6 linked regions of the Oryctolagus cuniculus genome follow. The protein of the gene in region 2 purifies or fractionates together with the protein of the main gene of each other region. This does not show direct contact. Links are inferred from orthologs where the notes say so. Each region holds a gene or a part of one and is shown on either strand. Other genes may lie near its edges.

Region 1 (4,920 bases), on a different chromosome or scaffold from region 2:
CCCTGGCCCTCCCCCGCCGCCACCTTTCCGCTCACCCGCTTGCTCGGCGCTTCGTGCCCCGGGGGTCTCGGGGTCTCTCCCGGTCCTCCAGCGCCCTCGCGCGCTCCCAAATGCTTCCCCGTGCCCACCCCGGGGCGCGCCCCTGCCGCTCCCAACTTCTCCCAACTCAACTTTCCCCCGCGTCGCGGGCAGGCCAGCCCCCAGCGTGCGCGCCCCCCGGCGCACCGTGCGCGGCCCCGCCGCGGCCAGTGGGGAGGCGGAGAGCGGGGGCCGAGGCCAGGGGGTGGGGGCGCGCTTCCAGGCACAACCCGGCACCAGGAGCCGGGCCCCGGAGGCCGCCCCCGCGGGGGGTCTCTCGGCCTGGCCAGGCGAGGCCGCCGCCCAGGCCTTCCCTGCGCGGGGCTCTGGCGCCCGGGGACGCCGTCTCTTGCTCCATGACGGCACTTCTGGGCGGAGAAGAGCCTGCTTTTCGCTGGAGATCCCAGCCGGCACAGGACGGCCGGGAAAGCCAGGCAGTTTCGATACAAACGCAGCAGGGCCAAGACTCTCTTGCGCCCACCTGCACGCAACCCCCCAGGCCTCCAAGAGAAGCCCCCCTGTCTTTGCACGGGGCACGAGGTGATGGCGGCTGGAGGTTGGCTGTCCCTTACCCCGAGTTGACCTAGGACCGGTCACTTTCAGGGACACAAACGCCTCGCGGCGGCCCCCTCCTCGTCCTTGCTACCTCCCACCCTGAATCGAGTCCTGTTCTTTTAAAGAACTTGTGTGCCATCTTGTTTTCTCAATTAAAAATGCGTTTAGGTAAGGATTATATACTTTTTTGTTTTTTTAGTCTGCCACGTGGGTGAAGCACAGCATTGTGTATGCGAAAGCATTCTGATATAAAGGAATTAATCCACAAATTGTCAGCACCAGTTCTGGTTCCTGGCTGCGGAGTGCTATTTGGGGCTGTTTTCGTCCAGTTCACAGCCCGGAAGAATGCAATCATGAGACAATTAGAGAGCAGCACAGGAAAATCTATAATCAACTGCCGTAAGGGATGAGGTAAAGGCTGCTGTAAGTGTAGCATCTGTCTGTGGTCTTGTCTGTAGAGGGGGTAACCAACCTGTCAGCCCTCGTGGGCCACACCCTTACTGCCTCCAGTGGGCTCTGCTCGGAAGACTGGGATCTGGGGGGACTCCCAGGGCTCCAGCCGGCTCGCCTCATCATGGGCTCCGAGACGACAGATGAGGTCCAGCAGAGGGAGAAGTCACCCTTCCAATCCAGCCAGAAATGGCAAACACCTGCCTCTACCCAGCCCTGGGGTCAGCTGGTCCCTGTGAGGTCATCGTTCCTATTCCCCAATCAACCTTGAGGTCACTGGGAGGCCTGGGGCGAGGTGGAAACCCGCGCTGAGGTCGCTCGGAACTCATCATCACCAACCAGGTCAGAGCTGAGCCACTAGGTCCCGGATCTGGGCCGCCAGACCTCAACCCGAGGGCGCCCTACCCCCACCCCGCCGCATTCTGGAACGCGTAGTCCCAGAGCGACCCTTTTCAAGAAGGCACACAGAAAAGGAGTAACAAGAGCGGGGCACACTGGGAACCGTGGCGTCACGGTGGGGACGCCCAAGGAGCGGACGCGTGATGCTTTCTGGGACTTGGAGTCCAGGGTTTGCCTCCGCGGTCGAACCGGAGTCCCGGGAGTCGAGTGCTGCAGAGGACCTTAGCGCAGCCTGCTGGGGGCTGTAGTCCTCTTGCCCGAGTCTCCGGACACCGCTGGGAAACCTGGCCGTCCTAGGACTACAAGCCCCAGAAGGCCATGCGCAGACAGGAGGCGGGGCGGGGCCGGAGGCTGGGGTGCCGCCTCCTCTGCAACGCCGGGGCCGGAGTCTTAGAACCCAGGGCCCGCAGGGGTCCCCGCGGCTGCCGTGATGCAGAAATACGAGAAGCTGGAGAAGATTGGGGAAGGTAATAGAACCACGAGATGTTCCTGCAAGATCTTCTTCTGCAGACCCTTCGGGATTCCTTGCAGCCTAGGCTCTCCCGTAGTCTGCGGTACCTGCAGGCTCCGACCTCAGCACTGGCTTGCAGCCCTGGCCCCCAAGCTCAGCACTCCGTGCAGACACCAGCCCTGCCCGTGTTAGCATTCTCCGCGGACTCCCACTCCCAACGTTAGCCTCCCTGTGGAGCCGACCTCCCAGCCGCGGCACGTCCTGCGTTTCCCACGCCTAGCTTCAGCACCACTTGCACATCCTCACCCGGACCCCAGCAGATCTTCAGCCTTGACATTTCTGCAGGCCCTCAGTTCTCTCCCAGAGTCCTGCTATGGCCAGACCTCCCGGAGTGCCGCCCTTATTAGCGCTGTCCTTACCCTGGCCTCCGGCTCAGACCCTGGAGCCTCAACCTTTAGGCCTTCCCTACCCTGCAGCGTCCTCACTTACAAAGCTCTTGCAAGCCTGCCCCTCACCCTGAAGCCTTTCCCTTACACACTCAAGTGCCCTTCCCCCTCCCCATTTCCTGGGGATGGGGAGGGTGCCGCATCCTCCCCCTCATCTATGACCTCCTCCCCTTAGGCACTTACGGAACAGTGTTCAAGGCCAAAAACCGAGAGACTCACGAAATCGTGGCTCTGAAACGCGTGAGGCTGGATGACGATGACGAGGTAGGACCGGGGACACCAGGGCAGGGAGTGGCAGATGAGGAGGCCTGGGGTGAGTGGGATCTGACTGCTGCTCCCTCGCTGTGCAGGGTGTGCCGAGTTCAGCCCTCCGGGAGATCTGCCTGCTTAAGGAGCTGAAGCACAAGAACATTGTCAGGTGTGGAGGGGGCAGGGGGCCCTGCAGGTGGAGGAGGAGGGGGCTTCAGCCTGGTTGGGGTGGTGCAGACGTGCAGACCTGCCTGGCTCAGCCCTTGCTTCTCCGTAGGCTTCACGATGTCCTGCATAGTGACAAGAAGCTGACTTTGGTTTTTGAGTTCTGTGACCAGGTGAAAGGGGATGGGGGTGGGCTGAAAGGGAGCAGGCTTGGGAGGGTGTGGGGCCCAGACGGAGGTTCACCTCTGTCCTGTTCCCCCGCTGCATCCCTTGACAGGACCTCAAGAAGTATTTTGACAGCTGCAATGGTGACCTCGATCCTGAGATTGTGAAGGTGAGGGGAAGGGTGTTCTGGGGGCTCTTCGGGGCTGGGGTTCCGGTCTGTATGCAGTGTCAGCTCTCCTGTTTAGGCACAAATCAGGGACTTTCTGGGGGGGGGGTGTCAGAGAAAGAGCAAACCTGCTCCTGCCCTCCAGGGGCCTCCGGGCTTAGCCAGCATTTCCACATGGCCTCCTTGGACCTGTATAGTGACACTCTGAGGCCAACGGCTATTTCCACCCAAAGAGCTACACTCATTTAATCAACAAACATTTGCTGAGAGTACTAGGCCCGAGACCAAGTGCCTTGGCCCAGGTTCCAGGGGAGTCAGGTCCTGAACCATCCCAGAGCACAATATCCATGTTGATGGTGACAGACTGTACACTCAGGTCCAGCCAGGTAGGGGAGAGAGGCATGGGCTGGGAAGGCAGAAGGCCTATCGGGCTATAAGGTCTGGAAGGGCAGGGAGCAGAGCCACTTGTTTCCTGCTGTACGGGCTGCAAAGCCAACCCTCGGCAGTGAGTGCATATAGTGTTGTCCTGAGCTTGGTGCTGGGGATTGGGTAGGACATGGAACAAAGCTGAGGGTGAGGCAGGGAGCATGCCCATGGCTGGCATCACCTCGTAGCCAGGGTGTCTGACTCTGTCCCCTCTGCCCCTCTCTAGTCATTCCTCTTCCAGCTGCTGAAAGGCCTGGGATTCTGTCACAGCCGCAACGTGCTGCACAGAGACCTAAAGCCCCAGAACCTGCTCATAAACAGGGTACTGCTCAGGGGAGAAGGGGAGGGCAGGGGGCAGGAGCCTGCCCTGAGACGTTTAACAGCCCCGTGCCGTGCCTCCCTCCCGTCTCCCCCCAGAATGGGGAACTGAAATTGGCCGATTTCGGCTTGGCTCGAGCCTTTGGGATTCCTGTCCGCTGTTACTCAGCTGAGGTGAGCTGGGGGGTGGGATTTGGAGTTGAGGGGAGCAGTCCCTGGTGTTTTTCAGCTCCTGCTCCATGACCAACCCGAGACAGTGCCCTCTCTTCTCTGAGCTCCCCTCTCCACCCTCCGTCCCAGCCCTCTAAACGGGAGGGCGTCCCTGTGGGTGGGGTCTTCTCCAGGTGGTCACGCTGTGGTACCGCCCACCGGATGTCCTCTTTGGGGCCAAGCTGTACTCCACGTCCATCGACATGTGGTCAGCCGGCTGCATCTTCGCAGGTGACGTGCTGGGGCGGCTCTGCTCTTTCTCCCCAATCTGGGTTGACAAACAGGGTCTGGAGGGTGCCCTCTCGGGGAAGGGAGTAGGGCCCTCGGGTCCGGGAATGGCAGGTGCAGGGGTGCCTCGGAGTGAGGAGTGCGCGGTGCGTCACGGCTGTGCCCCTCTCACAGAGCTGGCCAATGCCGGCCGGCCCCTCTTCCCTGGCAACGATGTGGATGACCAGCTGAAGAGGATCTTCCGATATCCTTTCGCTGCCCCCAGGGCCCTGAGCCCTGGGCCCGCTGGAAGCGGGTGAGGCCGTGGACCGACAGCACAGGTGTGAGGGTGGCGGTGGCCTTGCCGGGATGGCGGGGTCTGCAGGCTTCTCCTGAGGGTGAGAGGCAGGCAGCTGGCACACGCTGTGCAGAGGTGCGGCCTGCAGGCACAAGGGCACGCTGGGGTGTGCTTCCGGACAAGTTCTTAGGCCAAAGCAGGGGGGTTTTGTGGAAGAAAGGGAAGAACACTGGCTCATTGGGACCCCAGACAGCAGCATTTGGGTTAGTGCTTGCGATGCTCCTGGCCCATCTCGGTGCTGTGCATGTGGCACTGAATATGCCAGCCACGTGCTCGG
Region 2 (4,944 bases):
GCCCGCCTGCCCGCCTGCCCCCGCGCCTGGCCAGGGAGGCCTCGCACGCTCAGGAGCCGGCTTCTGAGACCCCCCCGGCAGGACTGCGGCTTAGGGTGGGACACGGCTGCAGGCGGGAGGGGCCGGCCAGGAAGATGGCTGCGCCGGTCCGGGACTTGCTCTGGACCCCCAGGGAGGAGGCACACGCCAGATGTGGGGGGCTCCGTCCCCCTGTCTTCTGGGGTGACCCCTAGCCCGCAGGTGTGAGCCCAGACAGCTGTGATGAGGGAGGCCGGACCAGAGCCGGAGGTGGAGCCCAGCGCGCGGCGAGGGTGAGGCAGGTGGGCGATGCGTCTGTGCCCTCCCCCCACTGTCTCCAGGCCTCTGGCACTCAGCAGTGGGGCTGGGGGTTGCATGGGGGCGCAGCTGACCCCTCCAGGCTTCTGCAGGCGTGCAGGGTCTGGGGCCAGGGCAGTGCCACACCAGGCGCCAAGAGCAGCCAGGCCAGAGGCCCCTCCCAGGCTCAGCTGGGCTGGCCCCAGGCGCCCCTAGCGGGGCCTCAGGCGGCCAAGCTCCTCTGCTGGCCGCCCCCGCACTGGGGCTGCGCGCCTGCCACTGGCCACCCGAGCACGTGGTGCAGGCGCTGCCGGCCGCTCTCCCCTCCCCGCCCTTGTAGGCGCCCCTGGCAGGTGGCCCAGCCCGGGAGAGGCCAGGAGGGGCCCCCGCAGTCCAGGCTCCTTGAGGACACGGGGAGGGGTGGAGGTGGGTGGGGGCGGGCAGCCCGGCCGCAGAGGCAGAGCCGGCTGGGCACGCAGTGGTCACGGCTGCCAGGCGCGCCCAGCGCAGCACAGGGGGCCGTCGCTGGAAGAGGCCCCCCCCCGCCCCCAGGCAGGCTGGGAGAGCAGGCAGGCGGGGAGACCCCGGGGCCACCTCCCCTGGGCGGCGCGCGGTGGTGGGGCGCGAGGCCCTGGCCGGGGCGCCCCACCTGTGGCGCACAGGGCGACGAAGGTCTGCGCGTGCTTGCGGATGATCTGCTTGTTCTCTTCGGCTTCCGGCATTTTGGAGAGGAAGTGCTCGATGAAGTCGTGGGGGGTCATCGCGGCCAGGTTCCACTTGAGCTTGTTCACCAGGAGCAGTTCCATTTGCTGCGGGAGCGGGCGAAAGGCGCAGCGCGCGTCAGGAGCCGCACGCGCAGGGGTCTGCCCTCCGCGGGTTGGGGGGGGCCCTGGGGAGGAGGGCGGAACAGGGAGGGGCGCGCCCAGGGAATGCGGGGCGCGGTGGGGGAGAGGAACCCGCACACGGTCCCTGATCCAGACGGGAGGAGGCGACCGCGAGGCGACCTTGTGCAGGCAAGGACAAAAAAAGGCCACCTTCCGCCACCTGGAGCCCGAAGGCCGTCCGGGCTCGCGCCGCTAGGGGGCGCGCGCCGCCCACGCTTGCCCGGCCACGCCGCTGCCGGGCGAAAACTTGGTGGGAGCCGCGGACCGCGAGCGGCGGGCGCCGGCGAGGGCCGCCCCCAGCCCCGGCCCCGGCCCCGGCCCGGCCGCCCGCGCCTCTCCTCCCCGCGCCCGCCCAGCGGGGATCCCGCGGCCCGCAGGGCGCCCCCCGGGTACCAGCAGCTCGTCCGGCCGGATGGAGTTGTCGGTGTAAATGCACAGCTTTTCGGCGGTCAGCGGGATGGTCTCTTTCATCTTGGAGGCCACGAACATGCAGGTGGCCCCCAGAAGCTGCAGGCGGCTCTTCTTCAGGGGCTCCAGCGACAGGAAGCGGTCCAGGTAGTTCATGGCCAGCGGGAAGACCTCCTCCTCGCACTTCTGCTCCTCGCAGACCTGCGGGAAGACGCGGGGCCGTGACCGCCGCCCGCGCCCCGCGCCAGGGTCTCCGTGCCCGAGGGCGCCGGGCCAGGGGCCGGCGAGGGCTTCCCGGGGTGCGCTCGCCGCCACGCGCGTGCCTGGGGCCCACCCACCCCGAAACTGAAAGGGAAAGTCCCCGCGCGACCGGCGCGGACGCACGACCCCCAGGACCCCGGCCCGCGCGGGGTATCCGGGGCCGGCACCCGCTGGGGTTCGGGGGCTGGGGGCGGGCAGGGGGCCGGGGGCCTGGGGCCGCGGTGGCCCGGCGCAGCGCTCGCCCCGCGCCCGCGAGACACAAAGGTGGCGTCCCAGGCCGCCGCGCCGCATTTCCCCAGACGTCATCTTTTCAAAAAATATTTAAAAATATTAAAAAAATAACTGGGCGCGCAGAAGACCCCTGAAAATGACCCTCGGGCGGTGCTCTACCTGGGCCGGGGGCCGGGAGCCCGCGGCAGGCCCCGGGGGGAGCCCCAGGAACTCAAACTCGGGGACCCCCCCCTTCGCCTCGGGCGCAAGGGCACTGCGCCGAGCTGCGAGAAGCGGCTCAAAGACGCCCGCGCGCCCCTCGGGCCTGAGCACGCGCCCCAGGCCCCCGGCCCGCCCCGGGACGACCCCCGGAGCCGAGCCCCCCGGCGCCTCGGGGGCCACGCGACCTTGCAGCCCGGCGCGCCGCGTGGCCCACGCCGCCCATGTGGGGTGTCCCGGCGCCCGCCGCGGGGACAAAGGGGCTCCCCGGATTCCCGAGCCGGGTCCCTCGGAGCGGCCCGCGCCGCGGCCCCGCGCCCCTCCCGCAGGCTCCGGGCGGCCGTGCGGACCCTCGCGGCGGTCCCTCCGCGCCCCGCCGGCCGCTCCCCGCCCCCAATGATTAATAAACGCGTTAGCTTTGCAATAAAAGAGCAAAGATGGCGCGTAACACTGGCACGAGCGGCACTTGCATACGTGTCCGTGGGCATTCACCTAAAGATCCGACCCGCGCCCCCTCCCCCCGGGCCCGCGCAGGGCGCCCGGGCTGCACCCCGCACCCGCCGCGGTGGCCCCCGGCGCCGCCCCTCCCCCTGCGCCTGCAGAGGGGCGCGCTCCGGGCCGCCCCAGCCCCCACGCGCCCCTGCCCGGGTCGGAAGTTGCCCGCTCTCGGGGTTATTTATTCGGAAAACACGGATTCCGTAGCAGCGGCGCGGCCGGCACCTCCAGCATCCAGGTGGCCACGATCTTGCGCATGGACGGCAGGATCTCCTTCTGCACGCACTTGAAGTAGGACACGGAGGGCGCGCAGGTCTCCTCCGCCTTGAGCATGGCGCGCAGCACCCGGTCGTTGAGCAGGTTGGCGTCGGGGTAGGCGCGGCGCACGGCCTCCACCTCGGAGCACAGGAGCTGGTGCTCCATGGCCGGCCCGGCGGCGGGGTGCTGGGTGCGCGCTGGGCTCCGGCCGCCCGTCCGCTGCCGCGCCGACAGCGCTGTGCAGGCGCCGGGACTTTGCAACTTCCACAAAACTCCCCAGCAGCCCGAGTGACGCGACCGCTGTTCAGCGGAGATCAAAGCCGGGCAGAGAATGGGGGCGGGGGGCGGGGCGCGCGCGGGGGCGGGCGCGCGAGGGGCCGAGCCCGGGAGCCGTCCCGGAGCCGAGTGCTCATAGACATGCAAATCGCACCCCGCCGCCCGCCGGGGAAGCGGGGCGCAGGGCGGGGGCGGGGGTGGCCCCCGAGACCGGCGGGGTGGGGCGGGCGGCCACCCGCGTGGAGGGGGCAGCGCCACGAGGGCACCCCCGGGAGGCGCTCGCATCCCCTTTCATTTTCAGGAACACGTGTAGAATCGGGGCCCCGCGCGCTGGCGGGGACGCGGGGCGGCGCTGGTGCGGGGGGTCGGGGCCCACGCCCGTGGGGCGAGCCCCGCGCGCGGCAAGGGGACTGTGGCCCCTCACGCGTTCGCTCGGATAGTTAAAATACAGGCAGCCGCCCAAAATGGTGGCCGGCGCTGCCTCCGTCCCGCCCCTGGCGCCCGGGGCCGCCTCGTGTCCGCACCCGCCCGGCCTCGCGGGGGTCCCCCCGCACACCTCGCGCCCAGCACACGTGCGGCCACTGCGAGGCGGCCAAGCCACGATGCGGGTGCTGCTAACCGCCCCCCACCCCCCAGTTTTTTTAAATTAAAAAAATAATAAAAAAATCGCTGGGCACGGGAGTCGCTGATGCCGGGGACTACGTGCGACCCCCGGGCGCGCCCGCATCGGTTCTGGGGGCCCAGGGCGACCGGGGTGGGGGGGCTCGGAGTTTACCCTGGGGCCGCCTCCGTGGGCGACAGCGAGGAGTCGGCGCCACGAGGAGTCACGCGTCGGGCTATTTTGAAGCAGAAACCGGGCGTGCGTGGCCCCGGTCCCGCAGGGCAGAATGCATCACGCAGTGAGCGTAGTCTGTCCATTGGGCTCTTTGAGTTTTTTAAAAAGCTAAATGGACACTTTGCCCATTCTTGACTTTTTTAAAACTTTTTTTCTTTATTTTTAACAGCGCTTTCCTTAACTGGAGAAGCCCCGGGACTTCGGGGTGGCCCCGGGGGGATGGGCGCGGGCCGCGCCGGCCGCCGTTTCATTCATAAAATCGCAACGCGGCGGCGGCGCGGGCGAGCATGCGGCCGTGCGCGGGGCCCCGCGCGCAGCCCGGCGGGGCTCGGGTGGGCGCGCGCAGGCTGGCGGCGCGGGGCCCCGGGCGGCGCGCGCCCACGCGGGCCCTGGGCGCCCGCGGCCCCGCGGGGAGCCCGCCCCGCGCCCCGCGCCCCGCAGGAAGCTGGAATTAGCATGAGCCAATCGCCGCGCCGCGCTGTTACTAGGCGGACCCGGCAGATCTCCGCGCGGAACTCGGCGGCCGGCGCGGGCCAGGGACGGGCGCAAAAGTGCAAGCCGGGCCGCCGGGCGTGAGGCGCGGCGCCTGGGCGCGCGGGGCAGGCAGGCGGGGAGCGGCCCCGCGCGCACGGAGGCGGTGTTCAGCTTCTGCACTTATCGTCTGCCTCTCCAAATAATAACTTAAAAACTTTTCTTGCGGTGTCAGCGCCGCACTTGTTAGAAAAAAAAAAAAAAAAAACACACCACGAAGCTGGAGCTGCGCCCCGAGAGAGCTCTCGCTTC
Region 3 (5,161 bases), on a different chromosome or scaffold from region 2:
TGCAATGTCATTTGACACTGGACAAAATGATCAAGCCCAGGCCATGTAAAATTCCAAGAATATTTACGAAAAAAAAAAAGTCTTCTCATGATTTTCAAAAGCAAGATCCAAGATGTTAGCACCATCTCCCAAGAGCCTCAGGTGTGTGGGTGAGTAGAATGTTTCCAGCATACATAAAGGAACATAGTGAAAGGAGAGGACTAAAACTGCAGCAGGAAAGAGGGAAGTCGGATTCAGGAGAACTTCCGAGAAGCAGTGAGCCCAGGGATGGAGAGAGGGAAAGCAAGTGGTCGGGATATGAGGGGCTTATTTCAGCACAGTAGAAAGCATTCTCACCCCATTTCTGGGGTGCTGGGGGAAGATCTGGAGTTATCTCTTGAGCATCATGCCACCAGACAAAGAAAAGTCATAAGATGCTCTGTTCTTTCTCGAACTCCAACCCCCCCTCCTCGGAGCAGCACGGGACATTCCAGACCCTCTCACCCTCCCTCTCTTGCTCCCGTCACGAGGTCCCAATCCCCCAGAGCCCTTGCATGTGATGTTCAGCTGAGACCCCTCTGCCAGAACAAAAGGTCTGGGCTGTGTTCACTCATCCCCATCCAAAAGGGGACGGTGGTGCCCATTGAGCCTTCTGATCCAACGCTACACTCTCTTACTTCCCACTTTAAATCCCCTACCCCAAAGTGTCTGAGACATTACCTACAAGAGTCCCCCCCCCACCAATTTCACCCCTTAGAGTCCTTGCTGCAGTTCACCACCCAAGGGGTGTCTGAATTTGTGCTGCAAAGACCCACTATCCTCTGTCCCTCCAAGGAGATGGATTATTTTCATACTCAATCCCAAATCTCCTTGGAGGGAGGGGGCTCAGGTACTCTCATGTCCTCACCAAACCAAATACATGGGAGAAGTATGAAGTGTTGCTGGCATCTCCCACCAGGAGGCGGGGAAACCAGAGAAGGTGTGCGTCCTCAAATTCACACCTGCTCCTGTCCTTGCACCCACACTCACCTTCTGCGCCCCCTGCAGCCAGCAGGACACTCATCCCAGCCAAGTGGAGAAGGCACCCTCTCAGCACCAGGTCCATCCTGTTCTTCTCTCCAGCAACCAAAGGCGCTGGGGGGCCGGCCCAAGCCCCTATATAAGAAAGGGGTGCACATTTGCATAGCCCTTCCTCTTTCTCTCCAGGGGAGGCCTGGGAGGGGCAGGAGGACTGGAGGGGGGGTGGGCAGAACCGGCTAGGGACCCCGGTCCCTGGCTGGACCTTCCTTCCCCACCCTGCTACACAAAGACAGTTTCTGGTTTCACTGGGTCTCTGTCATCTCTATCCTCCATCCCCTGGGGAAGAGTTGGCTGCAAAGCAGCTACAGAGCACACATGCGACACACACCATTCATCGTGGAAGAGCTAATGCACCGGTTCTATCAGACTAGGAACCCCGGCGTCCAAAAACAAAGGGAGACACTATCTGGGCAGGCTGAGGGGCGCGGGCAACGACACCTCCGAGGCCCAGAAATCCTCTACGGCGAGAATCCGAAGCTTCCTTGCTTTTCAAAGGAGTCTCCCTAGACCAGTTGGAATTTTTAATCCACACATTTTCCCAAGGGGCGAGGTGAAAATAGTGAGAGGTCAGAGAATCCCTACTACCGCCTGGAGACGGGACTACAGCCAGGTGCTTGGGAACAGGGGCTCAACCATGCCACGGAGACAGACACCAGTCTCCGCCCTTGGAACCAAACTTGCACGGGGCGGGGTCCTCGGCGGCGCGGAGAGCGGGCCAGGCCCCGCCCCTTCTTACGCCCGCCAATCGGAAGGGGAGGGGGCGGGGCCAGGGAAACGCGGGAAGGAGAGGCGGGGCCTCTGGTGGCGGTCGGGAACGGGGGGGGTGGAGGCGGCAACATTGTTTCAAGTTGGACAAATTGACAAGAGCGAGGGATACACAGCGTTCCATCGCGCCCTGGGGCCTCGGTGCTGGGTCCTGTTTCCCGCCCCTCCGCCCACGAGAGCCCGGGCCCGCTTTCTGCAGGGTTCCCAGGCCCCCCGGCTCCAGGGCCGGGCGGACCCGGCTCGCTGGCGCTTCATGGAGAACTTCCAAAAGGTGGAAAAGATCGGAGAGGGCACGTACGGAGTGGTGTACAAAGCCAAAAACAAGCTGACGGGAGAAGTGGTGGCGCTCAAGAAAATCCGCCTGGACACGTGAGTGGCCTCCGTAGCCGCGACCCTTAGCCGGGGCGCGCCGGGACGCCCCCCGCCCCCACCGCGCGCCCCCACAGGCGTGGAGCCGTCCAGGGACCGGAAGGTAGCAGGGTGGGCCGCCTTTTGAAGTGAGACAGCGTACGGAGTTTCGCCAGGGAGAGTGTAGGGTGGCGTAGAGTCTGTGGAAAGCCTCCTCCCGACACTCAGCCGGAGGTGTGGGGGGTGGATGCCCCCAAAATGTGCAACCAGAAAGACTCCGGGGGCAAGAAAGGAGGCCCCCGGGATTGGGGAGGGCGGGTGTCTAGGAGCCCCCTTGGCGCAGGGTTATGCGGGACCTAATGAGCACTTTTCAGAGTTACTAGCCCTCCGCGCTGCCTCAGCTCCACTCTCACTTTAGAATTCTCTCCCTCCAAAGAATGGCAGTTGAGCCCCACTGGCCCCTCTGGGGAGGCTGGGTGCCACTGCTACGTATTTTGTTCTGTCACCTCCCTGGCTCACCTTCACCAGGGAGGCTTTACTTATATAGCCCTGGGAAAGGAGGAACTAAGGATCTGAATGGATCTGAAAGCCACACCCTGACTACCCAGAAATTATCTTTACTTTTCTTAGGGGGGGCCTTTTGGGGCTGGGGGGATGGGAGCGGTATTTGTAACCATATTCGAGTCTGCTTTCTCAACCTTTCCAAGTGAGACTGAAGGTGTACCCAGCACTGCCATCCGGGAGATCTCTCTGCTTAAGGAGCTTAACCACCCCAATATTGTCAAGTAAGTGTGCGTCTGGGAGGTGATCACAGCAAAGGAGGTTGAACCTCTCTGTGGTCTGGGTGGTCTCTGCTGCCCTTCCACTTCCTGGGTCTTCCTTTCCCTAGGCTACTGGATGTCATCCACACCGAAAACAAACTTTACCTCGTTTTTGAATTCCTGCACCAAGATCTCAAGAAATTCATGGATGCCTCTGCTCTCACTGGCATTCCTCTTCCCCTCATCAAGGTGATCCTTCTGAGTGATTGTTATCTTGGCCTTCTGCAGAGCCCTCATCACCCTCCCCCACCAACCCCCACACTCCTAGTACTTTTTGTCTCTTTCCCTGCTCATTATACTCATTAACCCTAGGGCTGGGCTGGAGAATCAAAGTTGAAACTTAGTGACTCAACCCCGTGGCTCAGGTGGGAGGTCAGATGAAACTCAGATAAATGGGATTTGTGAGCTCTTGGTAGATCCCTTCAAAAAGCCCTTTTGTCTTTTTAGTGGGAGAAATAGTCAAGGAATCTCTGTTGTCTGTTGTAGAACTGGATTCTTCACTCCCAGAGTGACTTTCCATCTATCAACAAGTGTTTCTTTTTTTTTTTTTTTTAAAGATTTATTTATCTATCTGAAAGAGTTAGAGAAGGGGAGGGGGGGGTCTTCCATCCGATTTCCCACTCCCCAGTTGGCTGCAACGGCTGGAGCTGTGCCAATCCGAAGCCAGGAGCCAGGAGCTTCTTCCAGGTCTCCCACATGGGAGCAGGGGCCCAAGTCCTTGGGCCATCTTCTACTGCTTTCCCAGGCCATAACAGAGAGCTGGATTGGAAGAGGAGCAGCCGGGACTAGAACCGGTGCCCATATGGGATGCTGGTGCTTCAGGCCAGAGCGTTAACCCGCTGTGCCACCGTGCCAGCTCCGAGATTTATTTATTTATCTAAAAGAGTTACACAGAGAAGGAGAGGCAGAGACAGTAAGGTCTTCCATCCCCTGGTTTACTCCCCAGTTGACTGCAACGGCCAGAGCTGGGCCAATCTGAAGCCAGGAACCAGGAGCCGGGAGCTTCTTCCTGGTCTCCCATGTGGTTGCAGGGGCCCAAGGACTTGGGCCATCTTCTACTGCTTTCCCAGGCCATAGCAGAGTGCTGGATCGGAAGTGGTGCAGCTGGGACTCAAACTGGCATTCATACAGGATGCTGGCACTGCTGCAGCAGCTTTACCTGCTACGCCACAGCGCTGGCCCCCAACTAGTGTTTCTTGAATGCATGTGTATTAAACCTTCAACCTGTAGCTACAGGGCATGAAAGAGATACAAATCTGCTTAAGACCTGGTCCTGATCTTCCTGGGACTGGGAGTCCTACCAGCAAAAATAGCTTGTAACTACAAAATAACATAGTAAAGACTTTAGTGGAGCTCTGTGGGCAAAGAGCAAACTGATGTGCTTGTTGTGATTGAACAACAATCCCCTCTCTTCCCCCTGTCAGAGCTATCTGTTCCAGCTGCTCCAAGGCCTAGCGTTCTGCCATTCTCATCGGGTCCTGCACCGAGATCTAAAACCTCAGAATCTACTTATCAATGCAGAGGGCTCCATCAAGTTAGCCGACTTTGGACTAGCCAGAGCCTTTGGAGTGCCTGTTCGTACTTACACCCACGAGGTGAGTCCACAAACCCCTCCACCCCCCGCCTTGCTTTTCTTCTCTGAGCTCCCCAGGAGGGGTTAACAAGGGCATTCACAAAGTTACTAGAAATATTTGGCCAACAGTTTCTCTTACTATATGAAAAGAATCTCTGAGACCCTAAGGGGTCTTAGGGTATGCACACAGTTCCTTCTGTGGTGCTAACTGGGATTTTTCTTTTTAAAGGTTAATTCTACTTATTTGAAAGGTGGAGAGACAGAGAAAGAGAGATCTTGCACCTCTTGGTTCACTCCCCAAATGGACACAACAGCCAGAGCTGGGTCAGGCTCCTGCGTGGGTGGGCCATCATTCACTGCTTTTCTAGGCACATTAACAGACAGCTGGATCAGAAGTGGAGCAGCTAAGACTTGAACCAGCACTCCCATGTGAGATGCAGTTGTCGCTGGCAATGGGCTTTTCCTAAGCCAGGACAGCTGGATGGGACACCACTAAAATTAGGACCATTTGTCGCAAGTTTTCCAGGAAAGTCCCAGCTTGGAGGTTCAGAAGATATGGCCCCTATGTGGACTAGGCTAACTCTGAGCTAAGAAG
Region 4 (4,960 bases), about 180 Mb from region 2:
GCTAAGAATTGTAGCCATTTTCTGCTTTTTTTCCCCCCTGCATTTTTAGAAACTTCTGCTATCTTATCCATCTCTTCAACCACCAAATCCATAACCTTTCCACCATAAGAACCACCCCCTTTCATGGGTCCATAATTTGATTGCTGTTGTTCATTCTAAATTCGAACATCATTGTAGCAATCACCACCACCATAGTTAGAACCTCCAAAATTTCCTCCTTCATTGTAACCATCATATCCTCCTCCTTCACCCTATCCACCACCTTGCTTTCCATATCCTGGGCCACTACCATCATAGCCTCCTCTGCTACCATAGCAAGGACTATAGCCCTAGTTGCTACCATCACCTCTAAAACTATTATATCTATGGTCACCTCCTCTATAACTTCCTCTGCCGCTGCCACCTCCACAACCATAGTCTCGTCCTCCAACAAAGTCTCACCATGGCCAAAATTATCTCCACCACCTCCAAAGGTTCTTCCCCAACCCATAAAGTTGTCAGATTCATGTCCACAGCCACTTGGTGATCCAGCGGCAGACTGCACCTCTTGTTTAAAAGAGGCCATTTTCACTTCACAACTATGCCCATTAATAGTGTGCTATTTCTGAGCAACAATTTTTATCAGCCTTATCATGACATTCAAGAGATACAAAAAGCAATTCCTCTCCACTCCCCTCCCCAACTCTGCCTGTCTTCCAAAACGTCTACGGTTTCAATCTTGGCACATTCCTCAAATTAGATTCTTCTGTACCTTCATTAATACCACCCACAAAAATCTCCCTCACTCTTAAATGAACACCAGGCTTTACCAAATCCTCTCTAGAAGCAGCTCTCTTTGGTTCCACTCCATGTACAGCAACCTTGTGTGATCAAGCACACACTGCTTCATCCACCTCGTCAACACAAGAGAAAGCCACAAAACCAAAGCCCCTGGAATGTTTCGTTTCAGGGTCTCTCTTTACAGTCTGTGAGTGTGCCCCTATTCTTAAAGTGTTTTCTCCAACTATCAACTGTAGTTTCAAAAAGATCAGGACACCCACCCATCCACAGTTTCCTCAAATGCTCTGTTTCCTGCACATCACAGTCCTCCATTTTGAGACTGGACTCAGCTCTTCCAACTGCAGTTCAATATGGGACAGAGAGGAAGAGAGGAAAAACACTTCTAAGCTTATGATTGGAGAGTTTATTAAATGGAAAATGCTCACCTCTGATTCCTAAATCATCTTTGAAACAAAGCCATTCCCAAAGAGTAATTTTACAATGGTGTCCAAAATCACAGCAGCTTTACAATTTGACTGTTGAATGGAGAGGTGGGAGAGAGAGAATTCTTTCAGGATAACCACTGTTTGGTTATATTAACCCAAAGATAGTGACTGTGTAAAGAGGAATTACTTATTTCTAGTCATGTTCTGTCCATTAAACATGAATTACTTAATTCGTGTAAATCAAGGAGACATAATAAATTATACTGTAGCTGTTGAATCCTGCCTTGAAGAAAGTGAAACTGATTTAGTTTTCAAAATGACCAGAAGAAAATGTAAGTGAACTAAATTACAGTAACAGAAAGAAAGAAAAAACAGTGCACTGCACTGTTTGGGTATATTATAAAGTCCTTCATTTTGGTCATGAAGCTGGTCTTAAACCTTTTTTTAATGTTTTGTTGCATGAAAAAAAATTGAAAAGTGGCACACATTTAAATATTCAAACCATAGTAGCAATTAAAAGCAAAAAGAATGAATTAATTAAATGAATATTTGGAGGGTGATTAAATAAATTTAATAAGAAATTTACTTGAATTTATTTCTTTATTTTTTCTATAAACTAAGTATTTCTGTGTTAAACATAAATTTGGTTAGGGTTCTAAACGAAATTATCTTCCCTTTCTCCTCCCTATTAAGAAACTCAGAATCATCCAACCAAATTTGCCTTTTTTATTTAATCAAATAAGGTCTCTTCTAAAACTACAAAGCCAAATTGTTTCCATGCTGCTGGCAAAATTTTAGAGATGTGATATTATGAGTGGTGCACACATTATTATGCATACATTCTTAAATAACCACCCAACTTTTCAGTTTCAAAATGTCTCCATACTTCAGATCCCAAATGATCTCAAGTTTTAAAGATTTCTGGTTTTATTTTTATATCTATATTTTAAATATATAAAAGTTATCCTATGTAGCATAATTTCAGGAAAGGAGAACTCATTTGTGAAATTCCATGTAGAATTACTTTCCTTTGTCTTTGTTGTGCTGGAGTTTTTGCAACACGCATTCGTTTCATAAAAGTTTTCTTTCTTTATGAATCAGAACTCATTTTGACCACCAGGGATAAAACTAGGGTGGTGACTGCCAGTAAGAATTTGGTTTTAGACTGAAATTTAGGAAGTTGGTGTAGACAAAAGAGCAAAACAATCTACGTACGGCCCAAACCAGAGGGCAGAGGGGGAGAAATGACACTGCTCAACAATCCCAAATAAGTTAAGCCATAAAAACCAAAAAATACCCTGAATAATAGGAGATATCCCCAAAGGGTAACTATACATTATCTCAAGCGAGATCACAGTAATGCTTCTCTCCATATTTGTCTTCATTTCCCAAGTTCTTATAGTAAGTACAGATTACCTCAGTCAGAGTTAAAATAAGTAGCGTATATATTTACTTTTGAATAATTCCAATCGGTATTTTATCCGATTTCCACCGAAATCCCCCTTTATTGAGAAAGAGGATAAACACCATTCAGGGGCCTTTGAGTTTGGGGCTGAGAAGTCCCAGCAAATCATTATTAAAAATACATGGCTTTGAAACTCGCGTTTCATCCCCAACGTTCGTGAATTTTGCACCTGATAGAGTTAGATCTTATAAAATCGCTCCCCCTTGCCAGATCGTCCCAGCAGTCTAGAACTCCACAGCGCACGTGCCTGCTCTTTGCTTCGGTGGCTTCCCGACCCGCCACCCCACTGGGGTCGCCAGGAGAAAGTTTTTGATTCCTTGCTCCACGGGAAAACTCCCCAAGACGGATGCATCGAAGCGCTCCCCGGTAGTGCAGCCCTGCAAACCTCGCACTCCAGAGCCCCCGGCTGTCCGCTTCTCCGGCCGCCCATCCGCGCACCTACCTGGATCGCCGACCGACCATAGCGGTTAGGAGCGTCGGGCGGCACTCCGGCCTCGAGCAGCGCCCGCACCTCCTCCACCCGGCCCCGCGCCGCGGCCGTGGCCAGCCTGTCCGCCGAGGGCTCCATCGGCTCCAGTGCCGCCCGACCCTCGCTGCCACCCTTCCTCCGCAGCTGTCCTGAGTCAGAGGCTGCCCTACCCTCGGACCTTACGCTCGCTCCTCCTCTTTCTTCCTCTGGGGCTGGCGGAAGAGGCCCCCCAGACTCTGTCCTTGACTCCTCCCGCGGGAGCGCCGCGGCTTTCCATTGCAGGGGGCGCCGCTCACGTGTCTCTGAGGAGGCGCCATTCGCTTGAACGCCACGGGAACGTGACACCCCTGAAGTCGCCCCACGGCGGGGCTCGTCCCGGAGCCGGAAGCGGGCGGTGGGAGGGGGGCGCCTCGGGCCCCTTCCCACCTGTCCCCTCCCCACCGTGGGTGCCACGCGGGTCCCCGAGCGAGAGCTGTTCTCCCGCGTTTCCTCCCCTCCCAGTATACCCTGCCCCGCCCCCAGCCCCTGCGTTAGAAAACCGCGCGGGATTCCTAACTGCCACGCTCGAATCTGGGCGTTTGGTATCGCAGGCACAGTATTGCTTCCTCTTTTAAAATCAGAAGACTCTCAAAGCCGTCCCCTCGCCGCCGAGGAGGGCCAGAGAGGTGTTCCTTCTTTTAAAGGACGCACCGCCCGCTCCCCCTCTCAACGCCGGGCTCGCGCGCGCGGCGTCCACGCCGAGCGAGGCTGCCTGAAGTCGGGCCCTGAGCACTCGATCTGCAGAGTCGGCCAGCTCGCGCCGCCCCGCCCCCTCTCCCCGGTGAAACGGATGTAGGGAGCGAGGGTTTTGCTGGTACAAGGGCCAAGTCCTGTGGAAGGGCTGGCTTTGGCACGAGTGGGGCAGAGTTCTGCCTGTGGGCACATGGGGGAAGTGGGGAGGGAGTCCCTGGAGGAGAGACTTCAACCTACCGGACACCCTCCCCCACCTTCTCATCTGATGAAAAGGTAAACAGAACTAGGGTATATATAGCAAGCGAAAGGAAATACAGTTAGGTTTTTTTTCCCTATGATTATTACTTTTATGAGTTTAAATATGTTTTATGTTTTGAACTAGGTGGCTCAGACCTTGCCGATAGCTTAAGCCCGTGCTTAATGGGCCTGCCGGATAACCCTGCTCTGTTTCAGTTACTTTTCAATCCTTGGTTGATTTCTCCAGCAGATCCAGAATGCCTTGGACTTTCAGTTGCTGTTTGGTCAGCAAAGCATTCAGTTTGCAAAATGATGCCAGTGCTGGCTCTGCTCCAGATTCCAGCTCCCGGCTAACGGACACCTTTGGAGGCAGAGAAGACAGCTGAAGTACTTGGGTCCCTGGCACCACATGGGAGATCCAGTGCAGTTCCTGCCTCTGGCCTCAGCCTGGCCCAGCCCTTGCTGTTTCCCAGTACTTGGCAATTGAACCCCTGGACGGGACATCCATTTCCCCCCTCCCTCTTTCTCTTTTTAATAAAATATCTTAAAATATAAATTAAAATAAAGTGATGCCAATTAAAACACTTGGGGGGGCGGCGCTGTGGTGCAGCAGGTTAAAGCCCTGACCTGAAGCGCCAGCATCCCATTTGGGTACCGGTTCTAGTCCTGGCTGCTCCTCTTCCAATCCAGCTCTCTGCTATGGCCTGGGAAAGCAGTGAAGGATGACCCAAGTCCTTGGGCCCCTGCACCCTTATGGAAGACCCAGAAGAAGCTCCTGGCTCCTGGCTTCGGATTGGCACAGCTCCAGCCCTTGCAGCCATCTGGGGAGTGAACCAGCAGATGGAATACCTC
Region 5 (4,886 bases), on a different chromosome or scaffold from region 2:
CAGTGCAATTTACCTATTTATTTTAGATCACTTTGAAAGCAGTCAGAAACATATGAAAAGAAGGTTGGAGGGAGAAGAAAGGGAAGCCCGACTGTCCTAAGAAACACAAACAAGCACAGTGTAGCTTCAGTCTGGCCACAGGACTGATGCAGCACAAACGGTCCAGGGGTAAGGTTTCCTCACTGCACAAAGAGCATCTACAGGGCCCCAGCTGTGGCCCAAAGCCTGACTCTGCATTCCCAGACCTAAAACTGAACTCAGAATAGCAGCAGGAACAACAACAAAAAACAAGACACCTCCCAAGAGAGCATGTGACCGAACCTCACAGGAACAGCGTGGTGTGTGCAGGACCGGGCCCTGCAGGCTGGCATGGAGGTGCTGTGAAGGGTGGGAAGGGGCAGGAAGGCTCTGGCGAGGCTGTGCAAAAAAGCAAGGGCTTTCGGGAAGGACGTTCCTTGCTGGCGAGGTGTGGGGAGGTCAGGAGAGTGCTCAAGGCCAGCTTAAGGAGTCGGCCTCTGCCCTGCTGCCCCGGCTGCTTCTGTCGGTAGGCTCTTTCAGGGAAACACAACAATGACTCAAAACCCTGGGCTCTGGATCGGAATCCTGTCACCTCCACTGACCAGCCGTGTGACTCAGGTTAAGCTTCCGAATCTTCTCAAATTTCCATTTACTTATGTACAAAGCAGAGAAAAGACATCTCAGCGTTGACGTAAGAATTAGGAGACTGCACAGCAACCCTCAGGTTAATACTTAGCAGAATAAGCACTCAACAAATGCTAGCTATCATAAGAAACATCGGGCAAGAAATAAATTCAAGGAGAAGGCAAGCCATAGGTTGAAAATCTTTTTTTTTTTTAAGATTTATTTATTTATTTGAAAGTCAGAGTTACACAGAGAGAGGAAAGGCAGAGAGAGAGAGAGAGGTCTTCCATCAAAATAAATTCACGGAGAAGAGGGGGAAGCCATAGATTGAAAGTCTTAAGAGACACGTCAACCAAATATAATGCTGACTTGATTTAGATCGTGATTTAAAAAAAAATTTACTGCAAAAAAAAAAAAAAAAAGAGGGACTGGCATTGTGGTGCAGCAGGTTACCCCATCACCTATCTATGATGCACGGCATCTCATAGGAGCACCAGTTCAAGTCCCGGCTGCTCTACTTCCAATCCAGCTCCCTGCTGATGCACCTCGGAAGGCAGTGGTAGATGGCCCACATACTGGGCATCGACATGAGAGACCCAAATGTAGTTCTAGACTCCTGGCTTTAGCCTGCCCCAGCTCCAGCTGTTGCAGTCATTTAGAGAATGAACCCGCAGATCTCTCATACTCTCCCACACTCGCTCGCTCTCTCTCTGCCTTTCAAATAAATAAAATAAATCTTAAAAAAAAAAAATGAGATGAATGAGGAAATCTGAATACTGTTTGCATAACTGATATTTAGGAATTATTAATATTAATATTACAATATTGTTGGTGTTCACAGCACACGCCCTGGCCTAGAGCAAATGATCACTAAATATTTACTGAATAAACAAGTGAACAGTGACTCAATGACAAGTAGCCCCCCCTCCTATCTTCCCACTGCTGCCAAGACCTCACCGAAGGGCCTGGTACCAACGAACCTGATGACATCCAAAGTCCAGCCTTCACTCACCAGTCATCGCCCACGTTGAAGGCATTAAGGCTCTTGGTGAAGCCTTGCATATTGGTGGGGCTGACTCTCTGAAGGAAGTCGATGTAGTCCTCAGAGTGGAAGCGGCACATGTCATGCTGGGAGGCCTGGTACGGCTTGAAGACCTCGGGATGGAGACACAAGACAAATTCAGGCAGGGCCAGGCTCACTCACGGAGCTGAGACCAGCCCTCACCGAACCCAGTCCTGGAGACTGTCCCAACCCACACAGCAATGCCCCCACTCCGCCATCCTTGTTATTCTATGAGAAAAGGTCAGTGAAGAAAAAAGCTCCAACTAGCCAGGTGGGTTATGCTGATCAAGATCCCAAAGGTTGCTTCCTCTCCCTCTCCCTCCCACTTCCAGTCCAACGGCTCCTTCCTTCTTAATCTCGAGCGCTGATCTCCCTGCCCTGTTCCCTAGATCTCCTATTCCTGGTTCCCTCCATACTCATCTCCCTCCCCTGCCTGATTCTAGTCTCTCTCATCTGGTTTCTGGAGTCAAATATACAGTCTGTATGACAACCTGCTAACTAAAATGGAAGGTGCTAAATCAAACATGTACCTATCATCTTAGGGGTTGGAGTTCACACACCTCTTTGAAAACTGGGCAAGGAAAAAGATATGCACAGGTGCATCCAAGCACACAATCTCCAGGGACCCCCAGGCTCCTGCACTAACATCGCCCCCGTCTTGTCTATGACCCATCCACTTGTCTGTGCCTCAGCACTAGCAATGGACATTCATCCATGCTGCTGACGAAGTCCCCTCACAAGCAAGGGTTGGGCTTAAGTGTTTACTATCCCATATTATTCACAGCGATCAATTCCATGCTGGGGACCCACAGCCTGGGAGACAGAAGATTGGGCAGTTATTGAGCAGAAGCATGTAGAGGTATTCTGGGTTGTAAAGGGAACTCCCAGGACATCTGCTCTCTTCCACACCCACACATTCATACTCAGCGTGGTGCAGAGTTCTCTCTGGAGCTCTAGCTCCTCGGAGGCAGAGACATGGAAGAGCAGCGATAGGCACTGTGGGGTAAACCTCACACTCAGAAACAGTGATCCAGCGCCCCCCCATACCCAATGCCACAGCTCTGTCCACAGCCTATAATGCAGGGGGAGGAAAAAGCCTGCCTTTAAGCCAGGCCCGCACCACCCTAATCCTAGGACAAGGGTTGGTCTGCTGCAGGGCAAAGGGCGGCAGACCTGAGGTGGAAAAGTTACTCCCATTAAATCAGGGGAAGCCTCCTCGACACCCTGCATGTAAAGGGGTGCCTCTGGGGTCTTCCATTCGGCCACCCACTACTCTAGGAGCGGCTTGCCCCTGGTGCAGTCAGCCCAGCCCACCTAGCCCTAAAGCCGCAGCTGGCCCTCGCCCCCAATCCCCGGAGGCTGCGAGACTCACGATCATCTTCTTATAGAGGCCGTAGTGCAGGACCAAGCTATGGGTCAATGCCAGGCGATGAGGCTTCATAGGGTGCCCAGCCCCTGGGGGTGCGGGAGAACGGAGTCTGTCAGTTCCCACCCCTGGAGATGCAGCCCCCAACTCGAAACCTCTGCGTCCCCACCCCTCGCTCATAACCCTTTTTCCTCACCGTAGTGGAAGTTGCCCACGTCGGGGTCGTAGAAATAGGCCACGGTCTTGGCCATGGTGCCGGCCGGAGCAGGCCCCGCGCCTCCGCCGCCAGCCCCACCCCCGCCGTGCGTGCTGCGCAAGCACGCAGCCTGCCCCTGCGGAACGGGGGCGGGCCCGCTCCGCCCCGCCCCGCCCCGCCCGCCCAGGCCACGCCCCTTGCGGGAGTTGGGCCACTCGCCTGGCTGTGTCCTATTAGGTTCTGGGGCTTTAGCATCCTGGCTTGGGCGGGGGACGGGTAGCATCCGTCCTAGGATGCCAGGAACATTGCCTTGCGGGCGGAGGCCAGATCCTCGGGAAGCCAGGCCATTCCGTCCCGCCACTTGTCCCAAACCCAGGGCAGGCAGTAGTCACCGCTCTAGGAAGCGCTGAAGATCCGGGCACGCCGCCCCTCTCAGGGGCAGAAAGCCAGCTTCCCCCAGCTCCCTGGGAAGATCCCGGCCATCCTCTCAGCCAGGGCATCTGAGGGCAGGAGCTGCGCCAGGCGTGCGGGATAGACCAAGAGAAGAGCACCCCCGCCGAACCTCCTGTCCCCTACCTGGACCCAGACTCGGCGCCGCACATTCCCCCCGGGGGGGGCCCAGCGCAGTCACGCGCGCATCCCACTTGCGCTCACACGCGCGCCGAGCTCACGCTCTGAGCCCCGCACACCTGCGCTCCGCCCCTTGATCCCGGGCCGGCAACGGGCGACGGCATTTGGGAACCCAGGGCGGCTGCGGGGGGCTCCCCCATCGCCTCGCTTCCCCAGGGCCGGAGTTGTCCAGAGCCTGCCGCCGCGGCCAAGCAGCCCGCAGCCCGCGCCATCCTTCCCTCCCCCCGCCTGCCGCGGCCCCGGTATCCGCAGCCACAGCCGGGAGCCGGTGAGGCGGCGAAGGGGGGAGGGGGAGGAACCAAGGGATGAGCGCCGGGAGGGCGTCGGGGGCCTTGAGCCGGACTAGAACGCCCCTGGAGCCGGAACCCGAGCCGGAGTCGGAACCAGAACCAAACCACCGGTACCGGGTGGGCCAGGTGGCCAGGGTGGGAGGAACCGAGAAGGGAAGGGAGGGGTCCGGGAGTACAGGGAGGGGAGGGGGCTGCAGAGGCCTGGCTCAGGCCGGCGCGGAGGGAGGTGCGGACGCTGACTCAGGCGCGATCAGAGCGCCCGCCGCCTGGAGAATGCTGTCCCGTCTGGCGCTGCAGTGTCCTTGGCAGGGACGGGAGCGCGGGACGAGCTGGGAAGGGGAACGGTCTGGGACCAGGGTCGTGGAAGAGGGCTTGCCCAGCCGCCGTCGGGCCTCCTGCCACGGGCGGTCTTGGCAGACCAGCACCGCTGGCCGGGACAGCTCCCTGGTTGGGTAGCCGGGTGGTGGGACCGGAGGGTCCACTGGGGCATGCCTGTTTCGGATCCTGAAAATGGCATGCCTACCTCTCCCCACTCTCCAGCGGCAGCCCCCTAAACCCAGGAGGCGCCCTGGCCCGCGCTCGCCCCCCAGGGCCTCATGTCGGAACCACAGCCTGACCTGGAGCCGCCCCAACATGGGCTGTACATGCTCTTCCTGCTTGTGCTGGTTTTCTTTCTCATGGGCCTTGTGGGCTTCATGA
Region 6 (4,170 bases), on a different chromosome or scaffold from region 2:
AAGTCACTCATTCATTCAAAACAGTAACTGAGGTACCAGCACAACCAAGTTCTGAGTTACTATGAGGATTCAAAAATAAATAAGGAGCATCCCCGCCTTCAATGAGTTCACGTGCAATGTAAGGGAAATAAGGCTGTTTTGCTGATCAAGACTAAGTTAGAGTTAGAAAGGAATACCCCATCAGTGGAGAGGAGTACTCGAGCCCTGATCCCTAAGGACACCCAGCAGTCGGGCTCAGGCGTGTGTCCCGAGATCCTCTGATGCCACATAGCCTGGGGCAGGCTTGGGGGACAGGACGTGCCTACAGGGACCTGAGCACAAAGCTCTCAGGCAGAGTGGATTGTATACACTGATGAAAAACCTAGCGTATCTCAAGTTGGTTTGTTTTCTGGAAAAAAAAAATTTTAAACGGTACCAAGGGAAACAAAGCTTAACTTTTTCTTTTTAAAAGCAGACAATTCAGCCATCTTTCAAGCTTAATGAGCACTCTCCTGAAACCTCCAAAAATGGGCATAATAGAGTTAAAGCAAGTCTTGTGTTTGCGTGCTTTGGAATTTGAAATGCGATGCAACTATTTCAACTTACTATGGAAAGCAACACACAGGACTTTGAAGCAAAAATCTTTCTAATACAAAGAAAAACCTCATTCCCAAACTTTTTATAAAAATAAATGCTTAGTTCGACTTTTTCAACAGATCATCATAGATTATCCTACGTGACATAAATGCTCCAGGACTTCAGAAAGCCGGGTCCATTTTGAGGGACACTCCAAAATTAACTGCGAAACTTTAAACTGCACACACTTCTGCAAGGCAGGAACTCATGCTAGAAGCTCCTGGCTTAAAGTAAGAATGAATTTAGTTCCTCTTCTCCAATCTGTTAAGTGCATTTACAAAAACACTGTGACCCTTTACTCCACTCATAACTTTGGACTATTTTAATGCTACTGCAGCAAAGAACAATTACACAGAGTAAATACATACTTGAGTAACTTGAATGCAATTCAGTATTTGCGCACTTACTCTAACCCCTATTACGAACTGCAGGCAGCAACAGTGACCCAATCAGCAAAGAGAATCGTCTTTGGCACAGCCAGCTCAAGAAGGGACACCCTCAAGTTTGGGGCTTCATCTTAAGGAACGCCAAGCATTTCTCTTTCTCAATCATACGTCTACACTGCACAGCGCCACACAGGTGATTGGAAAGCCGGAGTTTTCGGGCTAACCTGGGCCTTGGGCACCGAAGCGCACGACCCGCGTGCCTGGCGGACCCCAAATCCCCGCGGCCGGGGCTCCCTCCCGGCTCGGGGCGCGCGCTCGTGCCGGGGCCGGGGGCGCGCCGAGGCCAGGGCGCAGGGCCTGGGGCCGAGTCGAGAGCGCTCGGCGGGCGCCGAGGGGCTCCGTCCGGTTCCGCCGCCGCCCGGGCATCCCTGCGCCGTCTGCGCCGGCCCGCTCCCCCGAGAGAACGGAGCAAAGGGGAGACTATTACCCAATAATAGCGCCCTGCACGGCCGCAACAAAGCGAGCGGGGCACCCGAGAGCCAGGGAGACCGGCTCGGCCGCTCCGGAGGCGCGCCGGAGAGCATGCCAGCGACGCCCGAGGGAGAAGCGCGAGCCGGAAGGCGGGGGAGGGAGAGAGGGCCGAAGCGCGGCCGTCCCGCGAGGGTCGCCGCACGAGGCGAGGCGAGGCGCGGCGCGGACGCCGGCCCAGCCTCCGGGAGGCGAGCCCGGCGCCACGCAGGCCGCCGCCTCCGGGCGCGATGAATCGGGCTTTTTCCCGGTGCGTAGTCCGGGCCTGGCCGCCCCGGAGCCGCGGCCCGGCCCGGCCAGGCAGGCCCGAGCCAGCCGGGGTGACTCAGGGCGGGCCCCGCTCGCCCCTCGCCCGCCCCCGGCGTCCTCCGCCCCGCGAGGGCCCCCGGCCCGGCCGCCATTCCGCCCGGCCGCGGGTCGGCGGCTCAGGCCTCGCCCGCCGCCTGCGCTCGGCCGCCGCGGCCCCAGTCACTGCGACACCGCGGCTCGAGGCCGGGCCTGCGCCGCCGCCTCCGTTGGGCCGCCGACACTCACCCGCATTTCCAAACGCCCGAAAGGCTCCCGCGACGTCTCCGCCGGGTCGCTGGGTCCCGGTGAAACCCCCCCCGTCCCGCCAAGGTCTGGCCGCGTCCCTCAGCCACCGGGGCTGCCCCGCCTGGAGCTGCGTGCGACACGGCGCCCGCCTCCTCCTCCTCCTCCCCTGCCTGCCCGCCCGCCCGGCCCTCCTCCTCCTCCCGCCGCCGCCGCCGCCGCCTGCACCACGCAACCTCCGCCCTCTCGCCTTCCCTGCGCGGCTCCCCGCCCTCCCGGCCTCACCGGCTCCGGCGACCGCGGGGGAGACGCTGTTGGGGGAGGGCCGGAACGCACCGCCATCGGCGTCCGGGGCGGGGGAGCCGGGAAACCGTCGCCGCCATCGCCCCACCAGCCTGAGGCGCGGGAGGGGCCCGGCCGCCTCCCGCCCGCCGGGGTCCCCCCCGCTCGCTTGGGTTGTTTCTACCTGCAGTCTCGTGGCCCCTGGCCCCCCCAAACGCCCGAGCCGCCCCCCACCGGGCGCACCGGATCCTCCACCAGGTTTCACAGCCCGCCTCGCCTGGGGGCCGCCTCCGAGGGAGACCCGGCTTCCCGCCACTCGGGACCTCGCGAGCGGGGCTGACCTGGGGGCTGGAGGGGCGGCGGGGGGCTCCGGCCTCTGGAGACGCTGCGCGAAGCAGCGGGAGGAGAGGGGCTCCCCGCGCCCCTGCCCCTCCCCGTGCGCACACACTCCCCCAGAGCTGACATGGAACCCGACTACCCCCAGCCACGTGCCTCCGGGGACCGGGAGCGCAACCAGCAGCGGTGTCCCCGACTGGCGTTTAAAGTCAGCGGGGGCAGGTGGTCCCGAAAATCCGCGCGGACTCCCGCGACACGTGCGCGCCTCGCTCTCCCCGCGGTGCACCTGCCCGCCTTCGGAAAGAGCGCCCGAAAGCCTGAGCCAGGCTGGCTGCATGTCTTTCTTAAAAAGTCTTTTTCTAAAATACACCCAACCAGGCTCCCCTCCTCAAACCCTTTAACCGACGCGCTTTGGGCAAATTTTGACGAAGATTCGCTTTTCCTTAGTCTTTGTAAGCACACATCAAGAACAGAATTGAAGGTTTTGATGACATGCTTGGCATGAGATGTGACTATAAAATACTGTTTTCACGTGTCGTCAGTAGTAGTTAATCTCACTCCTTAGGAATAATCTTAGGATTGGGTGTTTGGAATATTAAGCAAAATTTGGCAGCACCAGTAACAGAAAGCATTGACTTACCTCACACCTAGTGAGATTGCGAGATGCCTAATTCCACTGAATGAGTAAGGAAGGGTTTCCAATTAGCCTGTCGTCTGGGCAGAAGTTAGGATGGAGGCAGTTTCCTGTTTTCGCCAAACCAAAACATTGCAGAGATTGTAGAAGCACTTTGGGGCAGAAGTGGTCAGCCAGAGCAGAAGGCCACCCCCAGAGTCCACACGGTTCCCCTAGGAACACCGGGTTCTCTTAGAAGAAAAATCCCTCTCTGAAATGGGGGTCTTTTGTCAGTCTCTGTTAAGCATCCTTAGTTTGTAAATAAACTTGTCACCAAAGTATGGAATCCTTAATTTGTGCAGGGGTTGAAAAATTCTTGGTCTGTACACTTCTAAGTAACCTAGTCAAACGAATCGTTAGGTGTATGTAGCCACTTTTTATATGGCTTTCCTGTAATATCCTTGGTTCCTCTTACTGGGACTTGTGTGTTCCACAGACAACTTATCTCCGAATTCCTTAACCTGTCTTCTCCATCTCTTTCAATGGGGTTTCCTTGTCTGTGACTTCCCACAGATGAAGGTAATGGCTAAATGGGTCAACTTTCCCTTTATTGTTTACCAGAAAACCTTCTGTTTTGTGGGTTTCAAAAAAAAAAGTTTTATTTATTGGAAAGCCAGAGTGACAGAGATGGGGAGACAGAGAGCGATCGATTAATTATTCATGTACTGGTTTACTCTGCAAATGCCAGCAATAGCTGGACTGGGCCAGGCAGAAGCCAGGAGTCGGGGATTAAATCTGGCTCGCTCATGTTGGTGGTAGGGACTCAAGTCCTTGAGCCATCACTTACTGTCTCCCAGATTTGTGCATTAGCAGGAAGCT

The links.
Region 1: the proteins of CCND1 (region 2) and CDK5 purify together in Homo sapiens (co-immunoprecipitation; 4 studies listed by BioGRID and IntAct, counting the BioPlex papers as one, with this or other methods). This does not show direct contact. The link is inferred for Oryctolagus cuniculus from reciprocal best matches to the Homo sapiens genes CCND1 and CDK5.
Region 3: the proteins of CCND1 (region 2) and CDK2 purify together in Homo sapiens (affinity purification with western blotting; 12 studies listed by BioGRID and IntAct, counting the BioPlex papers as one, with this or other methods). This does not show direct contact. The link is inferred for Oryctolagus cuniculus from reciprocal best matches to the Homo sapiens genes CCND1 and CDK2.
Region 4: the proteins of CCND1 (region 2) and cyclin-dependent kinase inhibitor 2A purify together in Homo sapiens (affinity purification with western blotting; 3 studies listed by BioGRID and IntAct, with this or other methods). This does not show direct contact. The link is inferred for Oryctolagus cuniculus from reciprocal best matches to the Homo sapiens genes CCND1 and CDKN2A.
Region 5: the proteins of CCND1 (region 2) and HDAC3 purify together in Homo sapiens (affinity purification with western blotting; 5 studies listed by BioGRID and IntAct, with this or other methods). This does not show direct contact. The link is inferred for Oryctolagus cuniculus from reciprocal best matches to the Homo sapiens genes CCND1 and HDAC3.
Region 6: the proteins of CCND1 (region 2) and CUL1 purify together in Homo sapiens (affinity purification with western blotting; 4 studies listed by BioGRID). This does not show direct contact. The link is inferred for Oryctolagus cuniculus from reciprocal best matches to the Homo sapiens genes CCND1 and CUL1.

Annotation. Positions count from the first base shown.
Region 1 is NC_091438.1:22,758,657-22,763,576, forward strand, and holds the start of CDK5 (cyclin-dependent kinase 5), read left to right. Parts: upstream 1-1,795; 5' UTR 1,796-1,912; coding exon 1,913-1,949; intron 1,950-2,554; coding exon 2,555-2,643; intron 2,644-2,729; coding exon 2,730-2,797; intron 2,798-2,905; coding exon 2,906-2,966; intron 2,967-3,070; coding exon 3,071-3,127; intron 3,128-3,776; coding exon 3,777-3,872; intron 3,873-3,967; coding exon 3,968-4,042; intron 4,043-4,212; coding exon 4,213-4,309; intron 4,310-4,480; coding exon 4,481-4,550; intron 4,551-4,920. UniProt on the Homo sapiens protein: Proline-directed serine/threonine-protein kinase essential for neuronal cell cycle arrest and differentiation and may be involved in apoptotic cell death in neuronal diseases by triggering abortive cell cycle re-entry. Interacts with D1 and D3-type G1 cyclins.
Region 2 is NC_091432.1:3,246,545-3,251,488, forward strand, and holds the start of CCND1 (G1/S-specific cyclin-D1), read right to left. Parts: upstream 3,364-4,944; 5' UTR 3,216-3,363; coding exon 3,018-3,215; intron 1,809-3,017; coding exon 1,593-1,808; intron 1,125-1,592; coding exon 965-1,124; intron 1-964. UniProt on the Homo sapiens protein: Regulatory component of the cyclin D1-CDK4 (DC) complex that phosphorylates and inhibits members of the retinoblastoma (RB) protein family including RB1 and regulates the cell-cycle during G(1)/S transition.
Region 3 is NC_091442.1:58,755,508-58,760,668, forward strand, and holds the start of CDK2 (cyclin-dependent kinase 2), read left to right. Parts: upstream 1-1,840; 5' UTR 1,841-2,077; coding exon 2,078-2,193; exon of another isoform or gene 2,194-2,296; intron 2,297-2,879; coding exon 2,880-2,957; intron 2,958-3,061; coding exon 3,062-3,182; intron 3,183-4,417; coding exon 4,418-4,588; intron 4,589-5,161. UniProt on the Homo sapiens protein: Serine/threonine-protein kinase involved in the control of the cell cycle; essential for meiosis, but dispensable for mitosis. Phosphorylates CABLES1, CTNNB1, CDK2AP2, ERCC6, NBN, USP37, p53/TP53, NPM1, CDK7, RB1, BRCA2, MYC, NPAT, EZH2.
Region 4 is NC_091432.1:185,037,605-185,042,564, forward strand, and holds the start of cyclin-dependent kinase inhibitor 2A, read right to left. Parts: upstream 3,297-4,960; 5' UTR 3,239-3,296; coding exon 3,113-3,238; intron 1-3,112. UniProt on the Homo sapiens protein: Acts as a negative regulator of the proliferation of normal cells by interacting strongly with CDK4 and CDK6. This inhibits their ability to interact with cyclins D and to phosphorylate the retinoblastoma protein.
Region 5 is NC_091437.1:29,205,882-29,210,767, forward strand, and holds the start of HDAC3 (histone deacetylase 3), read right to left. Parts: upstream 3,400-4,886; 5' UTR 3,323-3,399; coding exon 3,268-3,322; intron 3,161-3,267; coding exon 3,078-3,160; intron 1,798-3,077; coding exon 1,655-1,797; intron 1-1,654. Other genes in the region: RELL2 (RELT-like protein 2), read left to right, coding at 4,784-4,886. UniProt on the Homo sapiens protein: Histone deacetylase that catalyzes the deacetylation of lysine residues on the N-terminal part of the core histones (H2A, H2B, H3 and H4), and some other non-histone substrates.
Region 6 is NC_091434.1:174,882,088-174,886,257, forward strand, and holds the start of CUL1 (cullin-1), read right to left. Parts: upstream 2,801-4,170; 5' UTR 2,684-2,800; intron 2,483-2,683; exon of another isoform or gene 2,346-2,482; intron 2,283-2,345; exon of another isoform or gene 2,064-2,282; intron 1-2,063. UniProt on the Homo sapiens protein: Core component of multiple cullin-RING-based SCF (SKP1-CUL1-F-box protein) E3 ubiquitin-protein ligase complexes, which mediate the ubiquitination of proteins involved in cell cycle progression, signal transduction and transcription.